4 linked regions of the Nothobranchius furzeri genome follow. The protein of the gene in region 4 purifies or fractionates together with the protein of the main gene of each other region. This does not show direct contact. Links are inferred from orthologs where the notes say so. Each region holds a gene or a part of one and is shown on either strand. Other genes may lie near its edges. The genes, in order: pop5, rpp40, pop4 and rpp14.

Region 1 (3,999 bases), on a different chromosome or scaffold from region 4:
TTCTGATTTCGATATTGGAAGTAATTTGAAATTGGCCCAAAAACAAGGAATCGGGTTATATCGGAATGCATCAAAAATCTCCGATATAAGCAGTCCGTTAAGGTTCACATTTTTGCAACCAATGGTTAAAAAATAATTTTCATTTTTTCTGTTATTGGCTCTTGTTCTCCAAATGAGTAATATCACTTGATCAAGCCTTCATCCATTCCACACTACAAAATATGTAAAGGTATGTATGATTTGTGCTGATATCATATCGGATAAATATCGGTATTGGATAATACTGAAGGCTGCAATATTGGTATCGTATCAGAAGTGAAAAAGTTGTATCAGGACATCCCTAGTGTAAACATTATACAATAATAATATAGTTATAGTTCAATACTGGCATTTAACTCCAGTTTTGTTTATGTTGCACTGGATTATGGTCAAATATTGAATTGATTTTAAAATTCTTATTTTTGTTTTTAAGGAACTGCATTGGGGGGGGGGGGGGGGGGCGGCTCATTTTAGTCTGAACTGTTACAGGTGTATGAACCTTCTGGCGCTCTCCGTTCCTCTACGCTACATCTGTTGGTTACTCCACCAACAAATAGAAAATGGAGTTTGGAGTTGTGGGTCTGAGACTCTGGAACACTCTGCCACTGTCGGGCACCTATGGTCAAGACATTTAAAAGTAGGCTGAAAACTGATTTTTACTCAATTGTCTGCACATTAAACCAGCCTGCTTAGCTGGTGGTAAGTTTTTATTTCTCTGTTCAGATGATTTTCAGCCTCATTGATGAAGATACATAATAAAGGGGTTAAAACACCACCAGATCAGAAAAGGACTGAAAATTATTTATCTAGGAGTGACGATCATTAGTGTCACCTAATAACAGGACAACTAAATAAATATTATTTTCATGCAGTGTTCGACCGCGGTGAAGTTAGCTTGAAGTTGGAGTGGACGTTGGATATTCAACAGACATTGGTTCCCACAGTCAGCGATAAATCTTCATGCCATGCGCTCCGCCACAGACGGCAGTTAGCCGAGTTCCGACGACTCGCCAATGGGAACGGTGGTTCGCTTGGGGACTATCAACAAACTTGTAGTCCTTTGTAAACGAGTAAAAAAAGAATCAAAAGCTTCCAGAATAATTGTCTAAATGACTCAAAATTACTTCTGAGTTGTGTTACTAAACTACAATTACAAGACACAACAGTTTTAACACAATTCACACAATCTGATCTTTTTTTATTATAATTTTTATCCAAAATAAGATATTTTTCAATAGCTCCTAGGTAAATCAGTCTGAATACCTAAAACCATTTCTCAATGGTGTTACTTAGCCAGACCAATAAGACACAGCCGTTTGTTTTCACATTTTTCAAGATGTGATCTTTTTTATTAGGACTTTTATAAAAAAAATCAGTGATTTCTTCTACTAGCTCCTAGGTTAATTGATTTTAATACTCAAAATCATTTCTCAGTGATTTTACTATGCAAGACCAATGAGACACAGCAGTTTTTAATCATATTTCACAAGATTTTATCTCTTTTATTAAGATTTTCATCACAAATACAGTGATTTATTTCAATAGCTCTTAGGTGAATTGATTTTAAACCATTCTTCAATGGTGTTGCTAAGCCAGACCAATGAGACACAGCAACTTTTAACACCTTTCAAACAATCTGATCTGTTTTATTACAATTTTTATCAAAAATTAAGTGTTTTTTTCAATAGCTCCTAGGTTAATTTGTCAAAATACCCTAAACCATTTGTCAATTATGTTACTAAGCTAGACCAATAAGACACAGCAGTTTTTAACACCTATCATACAATTTGATCATTTTAATTTGGATTTTTATAAAAAAAAAAAGGGATTTTTTTTCCCATTAAGCTCCTAGGTAAATTAGCCTAAATACCCAAAACCTTTTCTCACTGGTGTTACTAAGCTAGATCAATGAGACGCAGCAGTTTTTAATCAAATTTTGCAAGATCTGATCATTTTTATTAGGATTTTTATTAAAAACTAAAGTGATTTATTTCACTAGGATAAACATTTTAATAAAAAAAAAGATCAGATTTTGTGACATGTTATAAAAACGGTTGTGTCTTGTAAATGTAGTTTAGTAACACAACTCAGAAGTAATTTTGAGTCATTTAGGCAATTATTCTGGAAGCTTTTGATTTTTTTTTTTTTTTGTGTACTCGTTCACAAAAGACTACAATTTTGTTGATGGTCCCTAAGCGAACCACCGTTCCCATTAGCGAGTCTTTGGAACTCAGCTCACCGCCGTTTGTGGCACAGCGCACGGCTTGACCGTGGAAACCAATGTCTGTCGAATATCCAACGTCCAACATCAAGCTAACTTTACCGTGGTGCAGGTTCGGGTACTTTTTTAATGAAACATGTCTTATTTTCTATAATAGTAATATGTTCGTGGCAAACTGTTACAGATAATCAAATGTTTTAACTCATTTTTATGTGCGTGTTTTACGCTAGAAAATTGGTTTACGACAAACTACCTTGGAACCGGATGCTGCACAGAGCTGCTCCGTAGTCCCCGTGTATGCGGGCCACCGCTGCCTTCACAGCCGCTGCTACTGCTTGGTCGTTCAGCAGAAACAGGTCGTTCATGTCCGACACATTAACCTCGCACAGCAAATACCTAGCGAAAGAAAGAATATGCGCTAACTCAACGATGGCCACAGTAAGAGAATAAGTAAGAGACTCACAAAAAACACGTTTTACCTTGACTTGAGGCGCACCATTGCTGCCACTCATTCCGTCAACAAACCTCTTCTACGGATTTTTAGATCGAGCTCAATTGCGTTGGCGCCACCCAGTGGACATTAACATATTGCAAGGTGCATTCGGTTTAAACACGGGGTAGCCCGAATGAGTAGTTCGCGATTCACAATCACAGCTGTTTTTATCTTCACACTATGATGAAACCTTGACAGTTGACTCTACTTCACTAAAAAATAGGATAGCATAAAACGTGATTCAATCAGATGTATTAGCAGGCTTTAAATTTAAAATCAACACAAACTTCTTGGTTAAATTTCAAACGGAAAGCCTCGAACTTTAAACTAAGCGCACCCTTCAGTAACCATGACAACCCCAATCGTTCTCATCCAATCACAAGCTCAAGTTCCCATCTTTCATACACTTTGACGCCATCTTGAAATCTCATCCACAGTTTGTTAATTTGGTGTTCATAATAAAACCTGAAGTGTGTGTTTATTTTTACTGTTTGAAGTATGAACGGTTCTCGGAACAAACAGTCAGCGGCAGTCGGCAAAGGGCAGACGGATGCAGACAGTGGCCTAGAGACGAACCATAGGGACAAAAAGACCGGCGCAGGAATGCTGAGGAAGCTGAAGTCGAGGCGCAGTCATACAGAGAAGTGGCCTGTGGTCACGGAGGACCAGCTCCGGACTCTAGGAAGAGATATTTCCCCGGAGCATGTTCTGGGTTTGCGGGACGTCACAAAAGGTATCCTGTCTGCTGACTAAGTGTTCACCGGAGATGATAAAGCCACAGCGTTACGTGAGCTACAAACAAGCTAACTGTGGCTAAGTGAACGAAACTCAAGTATTTACAAGTCCGCTGTAAATTCATATCAAAATTTAACTAAGCTACTCTAGTTTATGCTATAAAGAAAAACAATTAATTAAGAGTTTTGAGCCCGGACAGAATTTTATTTTATACTCAACAAGCAAATAAGCTATCATGAGACTTGAATCCGTTAGTCTTTGCTTTAGAACGATTAGTAACATCTCTCTCTCTTTCTCTCTCACACACACACACACACACACACACACACACACACACACACACACACACACACACACACACACACACACACACACACACACGATGCATAATTAAATGTTTTCTAAATTTAGTCCAAAGACACCATAGTGTGTTATGACATCACATATATGGGGTAAAAAAAAATTACATGTTTTTCATTGTAAATCTTAGACGATCGAACTGCAGTAGTTT
Region 2 (4,135 bases), on a different chromosome or scaffold from region 4:
GTAAAGGTGTGCTTGTGTGAGAGAGCTAACCTGAGCTCCTGGATCAGTCGCTGCACATCGTGTGGCAACAGCAGGCCACAGATGGACACGCTCAGAGCATGACTGAGCACGTCATTGGGCTCTGGACAGGTGAACGATGACAGGAAGCTGCTGGATGAGCTCTCACTGAAACCACAGAAGAACGACTTGTAGTCACAACACTTGGACACGTGACCCTGACTGGACCACTCACCAGCTGATGTCGGCCTCCACAGCTCCAATCCACTCCAGAAGACTGTGACAGTCACATGACCGAAAGTCGGGACAGGTCAGGTCAGTCAGGTGGCGGCAGCTGACCTCAGGTTCGTGTTTGGACCAATCATAACGAGACAGGAGTGGCTGTAGAGAGGCCCCACCCTCTGAGAGGCAGAATGGAGTACAGGTGATACAGTAAAAGAGAATCTGGTCCATAAGTCCAGTTTAGACTGCGAGACCATCTAAAGGCTCAGGAAGCCTCTGCCTGTGTTGTGGATTCATCAGCTGATTGGAGAACATTGAACCTTTACATGATATTCTGAGATGTTAAATGTGGGGTCGTCATCATCTGGAAGCCGTAATCATCACAGGTAGAACAGATAAAGGCGGAAACATCTGGATTGACAGGATGAGTCTGTCTCATTGATTAGTCTCACCTTTCAGGGTGGATTAGTGACAACAGTGACCTTTACCCCTTGTTCTAGTTTTTATGAGTTTCACCTGTAAGGAGAAGATCACATGTAACCATCCTTAACAATGGTGTGTCACCTGGATGATGGGACAGTAGGAAGTCTGTCTGCAGCTGAAGGTGTGACCGAAGACCTGTAAGGAGCCGGGTGTGGCCCCGTCCACCAGGTGCCATGCTGCTGTCCGTCAGGTCCACAGAGACCACTGCAGGAGACATCACACTCGGTTGGTTTCTGGTTCTGTTCAGGCTGAGCTCAGCAAACAGGTCAGGACTGAACAACCCGGACCTGAGTCAGGAACATCTGGACATTCTTTCCTGCAGGTTCCTTCTAGTGAGGATAAATTCACCCTAAAACTCCACCCAGTGTCCTGGCTCTGCTGCTGTTTAGTCAACTGGCTTTTTTAGGCTACCGCACGGGTCCCTTCACACCTGGTACCTGGAGACCCAACACCTATAGTCCTGGGACTTCCTTTAGAAAGCTGCTTCTGCACAAAACGGGTCAGAAAACGGTGTAAGGGACTTTCTACGCAAACCGCGCGGTTTATACAGAAACGCTTGACAGAAAATGTGGAAACTTTAAACAAACTTTGGATCTGGAGACGAAAATCGTGTCATCACAGCTGGTGATATGGTGACATGTTTGACCAGAGTGATGAAGGTCTGCAGACCTACCAGAGACCTGACCAGAGTGATGAAGGTCTGCAGACCCACCAGAGATCAAACTGATGAAGGTCTGCAGATCCACCAGAGACCAGACCAGAGTGATGAAGTTCTACAGACCCACCAGAGATCAGACTGATGAAGGTCTGCAGATCCACCAGAGACCAGACCAGAGTGATGAAGTTCTACAGACCCACCAGAGATCAGACTGATGAAGGTCTGCAGACCCACCAGAGATCAGACTGATGAAGGTCTGCAGACCCACCAGAGATCAGACTGATGAAGGTCTGCAGACCCACCAGAGACCAGACCAGAGTGACGAAGGTCTGCAGACCCACCAGAGTGATGAAGGTCTGCAGACCCACCAGAGACCAGAGTGACGAAGGTCTGCAGACCCACCAGAGACCAGACCAGAGCGATGAAGGTCTGCAGACCCACCAGAGACCAGACCAGAGTGATGAAGGTCTGCAGGATCGATCTGGACTTGGTGACCTTTAGAAAACAAAAGTAAACCTGACCAAATCTGCTGCAGGTTCTGTGGTTGAATCTGGACGGTTTCCCCTCAACCCCCAGAAGTTCGTACGAGTCTTTGTCCAGAGACAGAACCAGACGTCCTGCAGGGACCAGAGGAACCACTCAGTTTTTTTCATGTTGCACTGAAGAAGTCAAAGCTGTCGCCTGTTTTACCTTTTGGCATCAAAGCAACACAGGTATCTTCATCGATGCGAGTCCCAAAGGACAGACCATACACAACACCTGAAGAAGGTTCAGACAAGTGTGTACAGGTAAGTACTAAATAACAAGTACACACAGGTGTGTACTGATAACTAAATGGTATATACAGGTGTTGTGTTACCTTGGTTTATGGCACCCTGCAGGCCTGGGTCCAGCAGCTCGTGTACTGGTAGCTTCTTGATCAGGTAGAAACTGCTGAAGGTGTTCATCACCAAGTCCAGGTTGGAGGGGGTGACGCTACACCCAGGCAGCAGTACAGATACCTGCACAGATGAACCCAGTCAACAGAAGGTAGCACGACTTTGTGATGCTGCAGGTAGAAGCAGCAGAAACTGGACATCACCTGGACCCGTACCTGGCAGCAGGGTTCTGTTATTATTTTCACCTATCTATTCAGCAAGTACCCGGATGAGAAAAGTTTATACTTCAGTTGCCTCGTGACTCAGATGTCGGTGCAGCGATGCGCGCTCCCGCGACAGGGCATGCACGGCATGGGCAAAACACTGGCTCGTCACAGCGCGTGCACGCGCAGCTCTCACCTTGTGGTTGAAGTGCAGCTTCTCCACCTGAGGGCTGACCCGGTTCTTCTCGTCCAGGAAACTGGACCGATCACAGACCAGCAGAGTCCGAGGAGTCCGGTCCAGATCCGAACACATATTCACGGTACCCTCGTCGAGACCGGATCCAGACGAGAACCCGTTAGCATGAAACCAAACGGAACCGCGGAAGTTCTGGATGTTCTACAGGTTCTGTAGATCTGAGCAGGAGGATGTCGTGCTGTTTTCAGAGCCTCGTGGGTCCCCGTAGTCACGTGGTCTACGCCGGAAGTGAAGAAAACACGCGGTGGTGAAAGCGCGCTCCGGTCCGAACCTAGGGTAACCCGAGCAGAACTTGGTCCTGGTTTCTGTTTATTCACGTGACATCATGGTGGAGGTGGCTGCCGTACCAGGGCAGTTTGATGACGCGGAGGAGGACAACCGGTATGTTGTTATTTGTGACGTATTGGATCAGAAACGTGACCTAATGAGAACGGTCCTGCTCCGGTGTTGTACTGATGTCGGTATCCCAGGTAGAACGTGTACCCTGCGTCGGGAACGCGCGCCGTTTCTAGCTAACCACGTGTTTAACCTGCGTAAATAAAGATTAGTTTTGTTCTGTGGGTGACTACCGGAAGTGATGCATTTGTAGGAGTTCTACAGGTGAACAGCTTTGTTTTAAACACTATTGGCTCTTATTGTTTCTCGTCATCATGAAGTTCAGTCAGCTGTAGACAAAAACACCAGAGAACATCCATCTGCTGATCAGCAGCCAGGCCCAGGCTTCCCTCTCCCCAACCACCTGGGCCAGCTCCTCCGGGGGATTCCCAAGGTGTTCCCTGGCCAGCTGAGAGACATAGTCCCTCTAGCGTATCCTGGGTCTTCCATTAGGTCTCCTCCTGGTTGGTGTGCCCGGAAAACCTCACCAGGTCCAGCAGGCATCCTAACCATATGTGGAGAAGCAGAGGATCTACTTCGAGCCCCTCCACATTTCTCACCCTATCTCTAAGGAGGTGTCCAGCCACCTCACAGAGAAAATGCATTTAGTCCGCTTGTATCTGCGATCTCATTTTTTTGGTCACTGCCAAAGCCCGTGACTGTAGATGAGGGTTGGAATGTAGATAGATCAATAAATTAAGAGCTTTGCCTTCTGACTCAGCTCTGTCTTAACAATGGCAGACCAGTACAAAGCCTGCATCACCAATCCATCTATCGATCTCACGCTCCATCTTTCCTTCACTCGTGAACAAGACCCCGAGATACTTAAACTCTTCCACTTGGGGCAGGACCTCATCCCTGACCTGGACAAGGCATTCTACCCTTTTCTGACTCAGGACCATGGTTTCACCAAACTCCTTCCACTCCTTGAATAAAATACATGGATAAACAGAGCTTACTAGGACTTCCAACATTCAATTCAGTTTATTTCTATAGCGCCAAGTCACGACCAGTCGTCTCAAGGACCTTCACACAATAACCATTCCAGTACAGGTCAGGGGTC
Region 3 (4,237 bases), on a different chromosome or scaffold from region 4:
TTGTTTATTATTATAACGGTCGTTAATCAGTGTCCTTGATCATTATTATGACGGTCGTTATTCAGTGTCCTTGTTCATTATTATGACGGTCGTTATTCAGTGTCCTTGTTCATTATTAGAACGGTCGTTAATCAGCGTCCTTGTTCATTATTATGACGGTCGTTAATCATTGTCCTTGTGCATTATCATAACGGTCGTTAATCAGTGTCCTTGTTCATTATTATAATGGTCGTTAATCAGTGTCCTTGTGCATTATTATAACGGTCGTTAATCAGTGTCCTTGTTCATTATTATAACGGTCGTTAATCAGTGTTCATGCTTTAAGAAGCTGTACCACCTTAAGTCACGTAAAAACGTGACCCAACGTAATCCACGTGAAAGCCCCATCTAATGGACAACTTTTGTCTCTGTACATACCTGCAGTTATCATCCATTTATCGTTATCCAGGTGAAATCCTCAATATATCGGAGCTAGGTGCTGCAGTTGCTCTCCACTAGCTGCAAAACCTAAGGCATGACGGGAAATGCCTGGCTCTCACCTGATCTAAGATCTGATTGGTTCCCATTCTGATCCAAACATCCAGTGGTAGAACATGAAATTCTAGTTGGTCGTATGTGTTCTGTAAATCATGTTACGTTGATGATGACAACTATATAGGCCATAAAGAGAAATGTGATTTGTTTTGTTTTCTCACATTTTCCTGTAAGCACCCATCGTGATATTGATTTTAGGCCATATCGCCCAGCCCTAAATGAGATCCATTTGCTCCACTAAATCCTCCTCCAAACATATAAAACAATTGATTTATAGGTAGCATACGTTGTTTCATGCCACACACTCCTGTGATGCAATGTGGGAAACCTAAACACTGATGTCACAAAAGGTCATCTTTGTTTGACTAAAGCTGTTTTACAAGACGAACCAAGCAGGTCTGCTCAGCTTCAACAAAGATCCCACTGCAGAGACCATTTAAACTTCTGGTCCAGAACAATGTTGTGACACTTCACTAATTCACCACCCAGGAGTCTCAGCTTCATCAGGACAGATGTTAGCCCCAGCCAGGTGTGCACAGGGCCACATGCCACCATCTTACCCTGATGGCTTCAGTCCTCCACACAGGTCCAATATGTAGTGTCTCCAGAGCTGGTGCAGGGGCAGGAAGAGCTCATACCTGCAAACACACAGAACTCAGACATGGATCCCAGGGAGAGTCCTGATCAAACCCCACCCCCCACAAACCTCTGGTGTTCAGCTTTGATCTGGAAGATTTTCATCACCCTCTTTTGTCGAGCACCCAGTCCTTTGGCTTTCTTGCTCTTCCTTTTAGTTGTGTCCTTCTTAGGTCGCGTGTAGCCCAGGATCACAGCCTTGTGAGCTAGCAAGGTGTCGAGGTCCAGGCGTGCAGGTGTCTTAATGCTGTTCTTCAGGAAGGCTTCAGTGAACGCTGCTGCTTTTGAGCTGCTAGGAGGCTAAAGGGACAGAATGGTGTCATATTCCACAAAACACCACAAACCAATCAGCAGGCAGGACAATGAGACGATGGCTGTGTTCAGATTCAGGGGTTGCATGCTCATGAGGTCAGATTTTCAGACCAGTGACATCACAGCACCCGGAGGAAGATTGTCCAAATTTAAAGAATGCGATCTTGAAATCTGTTGTTCTTTTCCCTGATTTAGAGGGCGGGTAAGGTGTAGTCTCTTCAACTCCATAAATCCAGAGATGCACTGTGGGACAGGTGCTGTGAGATACTCCGTTCCCCTGAAATATTCTGTTCACCTGTGTTGTGAGAAATGTTGTTCCCCTGAAATGTGCTTTCCTGTGTTGGGAGGTCATCCTTCAGGCTCTTCACACCATTTGTGATCGACTTTTACAGGAAAATTATGTAATGTAATAATGTCATGCTTGTATTTTTTATATTTCCCCATAAAACAATAAAATGTACAGTAAAATCATTGCCGTTCCCTCTTCTCCAGCTTTTATTCATTATTGAAAGTTACGTAAAAGGATGTAATCTCACAAAGTTTAACCATCTTTTATTTGAGGTTGTCTGGTCCTCATAGCGGACATCAAGTCCTGTGAATTTGGAAACATTTGTTTTTTATTTGCCTAAGTTATTAGGGAAACATATTTTAGGGGAAACGAATTTCTCGGAACACCGGCGGTACACCTGTAAAACTGCAACAAAACAAGGAAAAACTTTAAAACATGCGTGAGCTCCACTTCTGCAGCTTCTTCTGTAGCAGTTGCTAATTGACAGGAGGACATCTGCTGAAGTAGGGGCAAGACTTTTATTTAAGGCTAGACTGTCCAAATCCACAGCTGTTAACATCCGGTCCGAGACCAATGAGGATGGGTTCTCATGAGCCTGCAACCCCTGTGTGGATTACAGATTACTGTTACCTCCACATCCAGAGCCTTCTTCAGTTCACTAGGAACCGTGGTACATAGCAGGGCTTCACCTAACACACGCACACGCACACGCACACGCACACGCACACACACACACACACACACACACACACACACACACAGGTTGTCTTTAGCCTGAAATGTCACTGGATAAGTTTGTGAGAAACCAGCTAAAGCTACTTTTTCTGTCTAGATGCAGCTTTACGTCACAAAACGAGGTCACACTCAACCAGCGGGGAACATTTCCCCATCGAACCCTTTAGACTACACTCACCGTCCATGGCTGCAGGTTTCAGGGTTAGAAGAAACTTTCCTTCTGTCTTAAAAAAAACAACCGAAAACCAGAAGCTAGCTTACAGCGCTGTTAGCCTCTCTTCTTCTCTAGAGGTGAAAGACACCAGGCGCTGCGCTGCTGACCCCTGCTGGGCCGGTTTAGTACTACAGCTTAAAGAGTAACTGAACCCCAGAATAAATTGTTGCTTCTAAACGATATAATTTATGGAACTCAAAAGCATTCAAAATTCAATAAATAAATAAATAAATAAATAAATAAATAAATAAATAAATAAATAAATAAATAAGACATTATGAAATAAATAGCTACATGAAGAAATATTAGATAATTATGTAATCTGTCAATGAAATGATGAAATAACAGGATGTTATGTAAAATCTAAGCTCAATATTATGAAATATTTTTCATTCTTCTTTTAAATGTCTTTATTAATATAAAGTTTTTAAAAAAGTCATTTCTTCATAATAATCCAAATTAATATTGAGCCATTTTTTTAATTTAATTCATTCAGTTTTTAATACATAACGCCTTTTTAGCAAAGACAGCTTTTATTTCATAATAGTGTTTTTTTTCCCCATGGCTGATTTACTTCATAATGAGACTTTACAGCAGAATGTCTCAGTCCGTCAGTCAAGCCAGTGGGTGTGACCTGCAACACCACTGGTTAATCCTTCAACATCGTTTGGTTTTCCTGGATTTCTCTATAATAGAACAAGGCTATCCCAGCATGCTTTACGTGCCGGCTGTGGACTTTCAACAGGTTTTAAACGTAAGTTTGTTTAAAAACTAGTGGTAGAAAACTAAAAAGCTTAAAGCGGTTCTTTTTATAGATATTTTTCGTTTGTATATTTGTTTTTTAAATTACATTTTAGGTAGAATTCAGCCAGAACAAGGTGGCGCCTGTGCTTGGCTTAGCCGCAGTCACCGGCCACTTTTTCAAACTTTTCTCCACTAACCTCCTCCTTTCCACCTTGCTCCTGTCTGCGATCCTCTTCAGTAGTGTCCCTGCTACCATCTCCTATGATCGCCTGATTCTTTTGTCCTTCCGTTCGTTCACGATCGCCCAAGATGCACCGAGGACGTACCTCCCTGTTTGTTTATCTGAGTGGTGCACTGGCCCGGAGCCAAACGACAATTCCAATCATGGCGTTTCCAGCGATGTTTGTCCGGTCCCGGGAAAACGTCGGAGCAAAAGAGGTAAAAGAGCAGGAATCCAGGTGAGAATAAGACTTCTCTTAAAGCGTGGTTTATCTAGTAAACATCGGCGGGATCTTCTAGCTTCTTGTCCTTTGTTTGGCGACTTGAACGCCACTTACGCATTCCCGCCAGTTTCTCCGTCCCAAGTTTTTTTAAGGTCGGTTTTTCCTCATTCCTCAGTGGTTTCTCCTCCTGTTCCCTCCATAAGTGGTTTTTATAAACACTGTGGATCTAACCCTGCTAATTTATGTCCTCTAACTCCAGCTGTTTCTGTAGTTTCTGATTCCTCCACCTCACTCAGCATGACTCTATTAAATACCCGCTCTGTTAACAGT
Region 4 (4,304 bases):
CAAAGCATGTAAACACACCATCTAGGACCAGATACATGACTGTAATGGTGAAAGGTGCTATGCTCTCTGTTGTACAGGTAGAGGAATTGCTTTGCAACGCTCCCCAGGTGATGGAGAAGTCTGAAGGGGAAACACCTCTGTCAATGCTTGAGTGCGACTCCACACTCGAGCTGACGGAAGTATAAACCAGGCTTTACCCTCGGTCACATCACACAGGTGAATTCAAATTAAAATCTAAGAAATAACTGAGCTAAAGGTTAAATCTGCTGACCTGCAGGACTCTGAAGGCACAGGCCTGGCTCTGGTAATAACCCTGCAGAGTTAGGGAGCTCCACAACTTCACCAGACCTCTGAAAGAAATATCAAAACAATCAGACCCCATCAAGTGTATTTAGTCAGACGTTTGAAGCAGCAGCATTGGGCTCACCCACTACAAACACGCAGCACAGCAGTGAGAGACCCTTCATCAAACTTCAACACATCAAAGGGCAGCGCTGCTCCCACCTGAAGCACATTGGTGTAGAAGCATTTCAGTAACTGAATGCAGCCTTTAGTCACAGCTCTGATAACAATAGATGTGTTTAGCTCACCTCTCCATGTAGATCCTTCAGACCAGTGATGATTAAACTCTTCAGTTCAACTGCATTCAGTCTGGTTTCCTGATCCTGTAAAACCCTTAAGTAGTAATGCACCAAGTCACCAACAAGATCAAAGATATGCACCAAAGACAGGAAAACTACTAAAAACCAGAGACTAACAGGCAGACTTTCATATAGCAGTAAGGCGAGCCGTTCTTCAGCACCGTTCGGTGGAACCCAGAAGATCCAATCTTCTCTCTGACTGATGTCATTCTAACAGAACCTCAGAGATCAGCTGACTGTGGACCAAAACACACAAATCTGTAATTACCTGTTATGATCAGAACAACAACAAAGTTAATGACAAATGTCCAAAGTATGAGGATTGCTGTAAAGACTCTCTGTGTTTCTCAATGTCAAGGCACCTGGCCTTGCGAGGCGATGTCTTACGAGGCCTTGCAAGCATCAGCATCAGCAATCTAGAAGCTAATGATGGATATATTAAGCAGGGGTGTCAAACATGCGGCCCGCGGGCCGGATCAGGCCCGCACACAGTTTAAATCCGGCCCGCGAGATGATTGCGTAAACCTTATTTTCAGACTTAACAATGTAAAGTCTGAAAATAAGCTTTCATTTTTCAATTAAACTACTGGTGAAAGTTAAAAGATGTCAGGTATCAGGAGTCAAAGACATGTATGACACTGATATAGCCATGTGATCTGTGAATCAGTTATTTGAATCACTGAGCTTGCCCTCTTTGGGTTTTTTGTTTTGCATTTCACATTTTCAAATACACTTCAGGTGTTTTATTATTAATGGTGATGTTGTGCTTTAACTATTTTGGATACACTGTCCTCAGGCTCCAGCTTTGTTTTATGTTGATCGTATTAAAACAAAAAAAAAAAAAAAAAAAAAACACTGGTCTGGCCCACTTGGGACTAGATTTTCCTCAATGTGGCCCCTGAGCAAAACTGAGTTTGACACCCCAGCATTAGAGCATCCTGGTGCAATAAGCTAAACTTTTATGAATGACACGATTAGTCGACTAATCGTCACTGGCAACTAGCTGACTACTAAAGTAATCGTTTGTGGCAGCCCTAATTTAGTGACGCAGAAACCCAGCAATTACTTTATATCTGTTGGCTCTAAAGCTTCTTCTTAAAGCAGAGTAAATAGGATAAACATGTGTGCCTTAACCTGGCAATTAAATATAATAAAACCTCCCTGTTTTTCACAGCTTTGTGTTGACTATTTCTATTCTAGAATAATGAATACGTATGAAAAATAGGTCTAAACCTTAATCAGCTTTGAATTTAATTTCTATTAAATAATGCACATTTAAACAGATGATATGTGTGTTCTAGTTCTAACTTGCAAACACTAACCTATGAAAGTGAAGACATAAGATAGCCTTAAGGAGGGAGATCCCGGGCCTGCTGGGCTAGTATCCAGCACGTTTTTAGATTCAACACACTTGATTCAGTGGCTGATTCACTTGCGCAGCAGCTCATCAGGCCCTGCAGAAGCCTGATAATTACCTGCTGATTGAAGTTAAAACTGAAACGTGCAGGATACCAGCCCTCCAGGCCCGACAATGAATATCCCTGGCCTATATATAGTAATATATATAACCCCAGTGTTTAAGAGCCAACAGATAAAGTCATCTAACAGTGTGTTAAATGCAACAAAATTTACACATTTGATGTTTTTCAGGTTCTTTTATAAAAGAAACAAACAGGTTTGTTGCAAAACAGGACATGATGGTTAATATAGCACGAAGTTAACAATTTCTTCACTAAACTCCTCAAAATCTGGCTGGAGAGATTGAACACCCTGCAACGAGAGAACACGGTTTATTGTTACATGAAATAGCCAATCGTATGAGAGAGAGCTCTTCCTGCCAATCAGAGGCGAGAATGACGGGACCTTCCTAGAACATCCTACTATTCCAAAGGAGTAATGCCGGACCTTTACACGCTAACGGAAGCTAATTATGTTTCATGCTGTTTAAGCTAACCCGTTTTAATCAGAAAGGACAAATCGCCTCGCTGGAAGAACTTACAGCAAATTAAAGTCAACGTTTGTTCGGAAAAAAACAGAACTAAAGCAAGTAGAATTACCTGTTAGGCCAAACACCAACAAAAACGAATTGAACTCACCCAGGATGTGAAGAGAGGGTTCATGTAAAGCGCATGCGCAGCACAACTTTTTTTTTTAAAGGTTTACAACGTGAAGTACATTATCGCCCTCTACCGATCTGGAGTGTGAACTGGCATTCCTCAAGCATAAACCAAGCTTAAAGCTTCCCTGTTTACGTCTGCGTCAATAGAACAGAACGAATGCTGTTCTTGATATCATTTCAAACATAACTTAATAAAAAACAATACTGATGTACTCAAATGAGTAAACTCACATTAGCACATCCAATCTACAAAACAATAATTAAAAAATTAAATATTAAAGAAGATAAAACAGTATAAATTAGGTATTTGTACATGATATCTAAAAAATATTTAAATCCATTTCAGTTCTTGGGCTATACAGCGATGCAGTGGTTAGCACTGTTGCCTTGCAGCAAGAAGGTCCCAGGTTCGAATTGTGCATGGAGTTTTCATGTACTCACTGTGCATTTATGGGTTCCCCGCAGGTGATCTGGCTTCCTCCCACAGTCCAAAAAGATGACTATCAGCAGAGGCGATTCTCGCATCAGAGGTTTAGGGGTGCTGAGCACCCAGAGATGTGCCCGGTCAGGCAAGATAAATTTCAACATTTTCTACATTTTAAATAAATAATTCTCACATTAAAGAAAGAAAACAAAAAGACTGTTTTCACTAATCAAATTACAGTTTGAAACATCACAATATATATGTTTAACAGATTCTGCTCACACTGTAGCAGAATTTGGTCCAGGTTTAGTGGTTCCCAGTCTTCTGTCCTTGAGCATCCCTTGGTTGTGTGTTAACCTTACAATCTCAGTACAAACATGTTGTAGAAGAAGAAGAATAGCTGATCTTTTGTACAGTGCCTTTCAAGATAAAAATCACGAGGCACTTGTATGTGCTGAATTCCCACAAATTTGGTGGGGACCCCATTGGTGGATCACGAACCACAGCTTGGGAACCACTGGTCCAGGTGTTGTAGTTTGAAAATGTGAGCAGATTAAAGATGCTCAATCAGTGGAAAAATTGGATGGAACTGCCCTTTAATAATTGGAAACCTGAAATCAAAGCCAATTTGTAGCAATGTCTGAATTTCCACAAAAGAATGAAACTAAAAGTACCAGTAAATAACTTTTAGGTCAATTTATTTTTTTTTCACATAACTTTCCACTAATATCAACATCCCATTGAAAAATAAATCCAAACTTTTTTGATAATTATTCTGTTTCTTCTTAATTAAAAAAATTAAACAAAAACAAAATGGTGGTTTTTGCAAAAATGACAACCAATCTCATACAGTAGATATTTAGGGGAGAGAAAACAAAAATCACTGACTTTGATCTCTGACAAAAGTTAGATTTAAACTTAATGTTGTGACTTATTTCTCAGATGTCTCAGAATAATTGATCAAAGCTTTAATTCAATAATTTCAACTGTTCAAAAGGGTTTGGCTATGAAAAACCACAAGCACCTTGTCTGTGTTAGAATCTTATTATTGGGCTTCTTTAGCACCAGCCTGTTAGCCTGGCAAGCCAGACTCTCTCTGTTTAATTCTGCACAGAGACTG

The links.
Region 1: the proteins of rpp14 (region 4) and pop5 purify together in Homo sapiens (co-immunoprecipitation; 3 studies listed by BioGRID and IntAct, with this or other methods). This does not show direct contact. The link is inferred for Nothobranchius furzeri from reciprocal best matches to the Homo sapiens genes RPP14 and POP5.
Region 2: the proteins of rpp14 (region 4) and rpp40 purify together in Homo sapiens (co-immunoprecipitation; 3 studies listed by BioGRID and IntAct, with this or other methods). This does not show direct contact. The link is inferred for Nothobranchius furzeri from reciprocal best matches to the Homo sapiens genes RPP14 and RPP40.
Region 3: the proteins of rpp14 (region 4) and pop4 purify together in Homo sapiens (affinity purification with mass spectrometry; 3 studies listed by BioGRID and IntAct, counting the BioPlex papers as one, with this or other methods). This does not show direct contact. The link is inferred for Nothobranchius furzeri from reciprocal best matches to the Homo sapiens genes RPP14 and POP4.

Annotation. Positions count from the first base shown.
Region 1 is NC_091757.1:33,375,387-33,379,385, forward strand, and holds the start of pop5 (ribonuclease P/MRP protein subunit POP5), read right to left. Parts: upstream 2,827-3,999; 5' UTR 2,760-2,826; coding exon 2,740-2,759; intron 2,657-2,739; coding exon 2,514-2,656; intron 1-2,513. Other genes in the region: unc119b (protein unc-119 homolog B), read left to right, coding at 3,252-3,486. UniProt on the Homo sapiens protein: Component of ribonuclease P, a protein complex that generates mature tRNA molecules by cleaving their 5'-ends. Also a component of the MRP ribonuclease complex, which cleaves pre-rRNA sequences.
Region 2 is NC_091751.1:33,814,112-33,818,246, forward strand, and holds the start of rpp40 (ribonuclease P protein subunit p40), read right to left. Parts: upstream 2,829-4,135; 5' UTR 2,755-2,828; coding exon 2,638-2,754; intron 2,592-2,637; exon of another isoform or gene 2,454-2,591; intron 2,362-2,453; coding exon 2,220-2,361; intron 2,120-2,219; coding exon 2,051-2,119; intron 1,978-2,050; coding exon 1,882-1,977; intron 907-1,881; coding exon 784-906; intron 399-783; coding exon 233-398; intron 166-232; coding exon 31-165; intron 1-30. Other genes in the region: riok1 (serine/threonine-protein kinase RIO1), read left to right, coding at 3,023-3,078. UniProt on the Homo sapiens protein: Component of ribonuclease P, a ribonucleoprotein complex that generates mature tRNA molecules by cleaving their 5'-ends. Also a component of the MRP ribonuclease complex, which cleaves pre-rRNA sequences.
Region 3 is NC_091749.1:7,870,534-7,874,770, forward strand, and holds the start of pop4 (ribonuclease P protein subunit p29), read right to left. Parts: upstream 2,820-4,237; 5' UTR 2,692-2,819; coding exon 2,685-2,691; intron 2,461-2,684; coding exon 2,402-2,460; intron 1,471-2,401; coding exon 1,241-1,470; intron 1,173-1,240; coding exon 1,095-1,172; intron 1-1,094. UniProt on the Homo sapiens protein: Component of ribonuclease P, a ribonucleoprotein complex that generates mature tRNA molecules by cleaving their 5'-ends.
Region 4 is NC_091743.1:78,988,695-78,992,998, forward strand, and holds the start of rpp14 (ribonuclease P protein subunit p14), read right to left. Parts: upstream 2,824-4,304; 5' UTR 2,738-2,823; exon of another isoform or gene 2,699-2,737; intron 878-2,698; 5' UTR 851-877; coding exon 759-850; intron 676-758; coding exon 591-675; intron 505-590; coding exon 428-504; intron 351-427; coding exon 272-350; intron 1-271. UniProt on the Homo sapiens protein: Component of ribonuclease P, a ribonucleoprotein complex that generates mature tRNA molecules by cleaving their 5'-ends.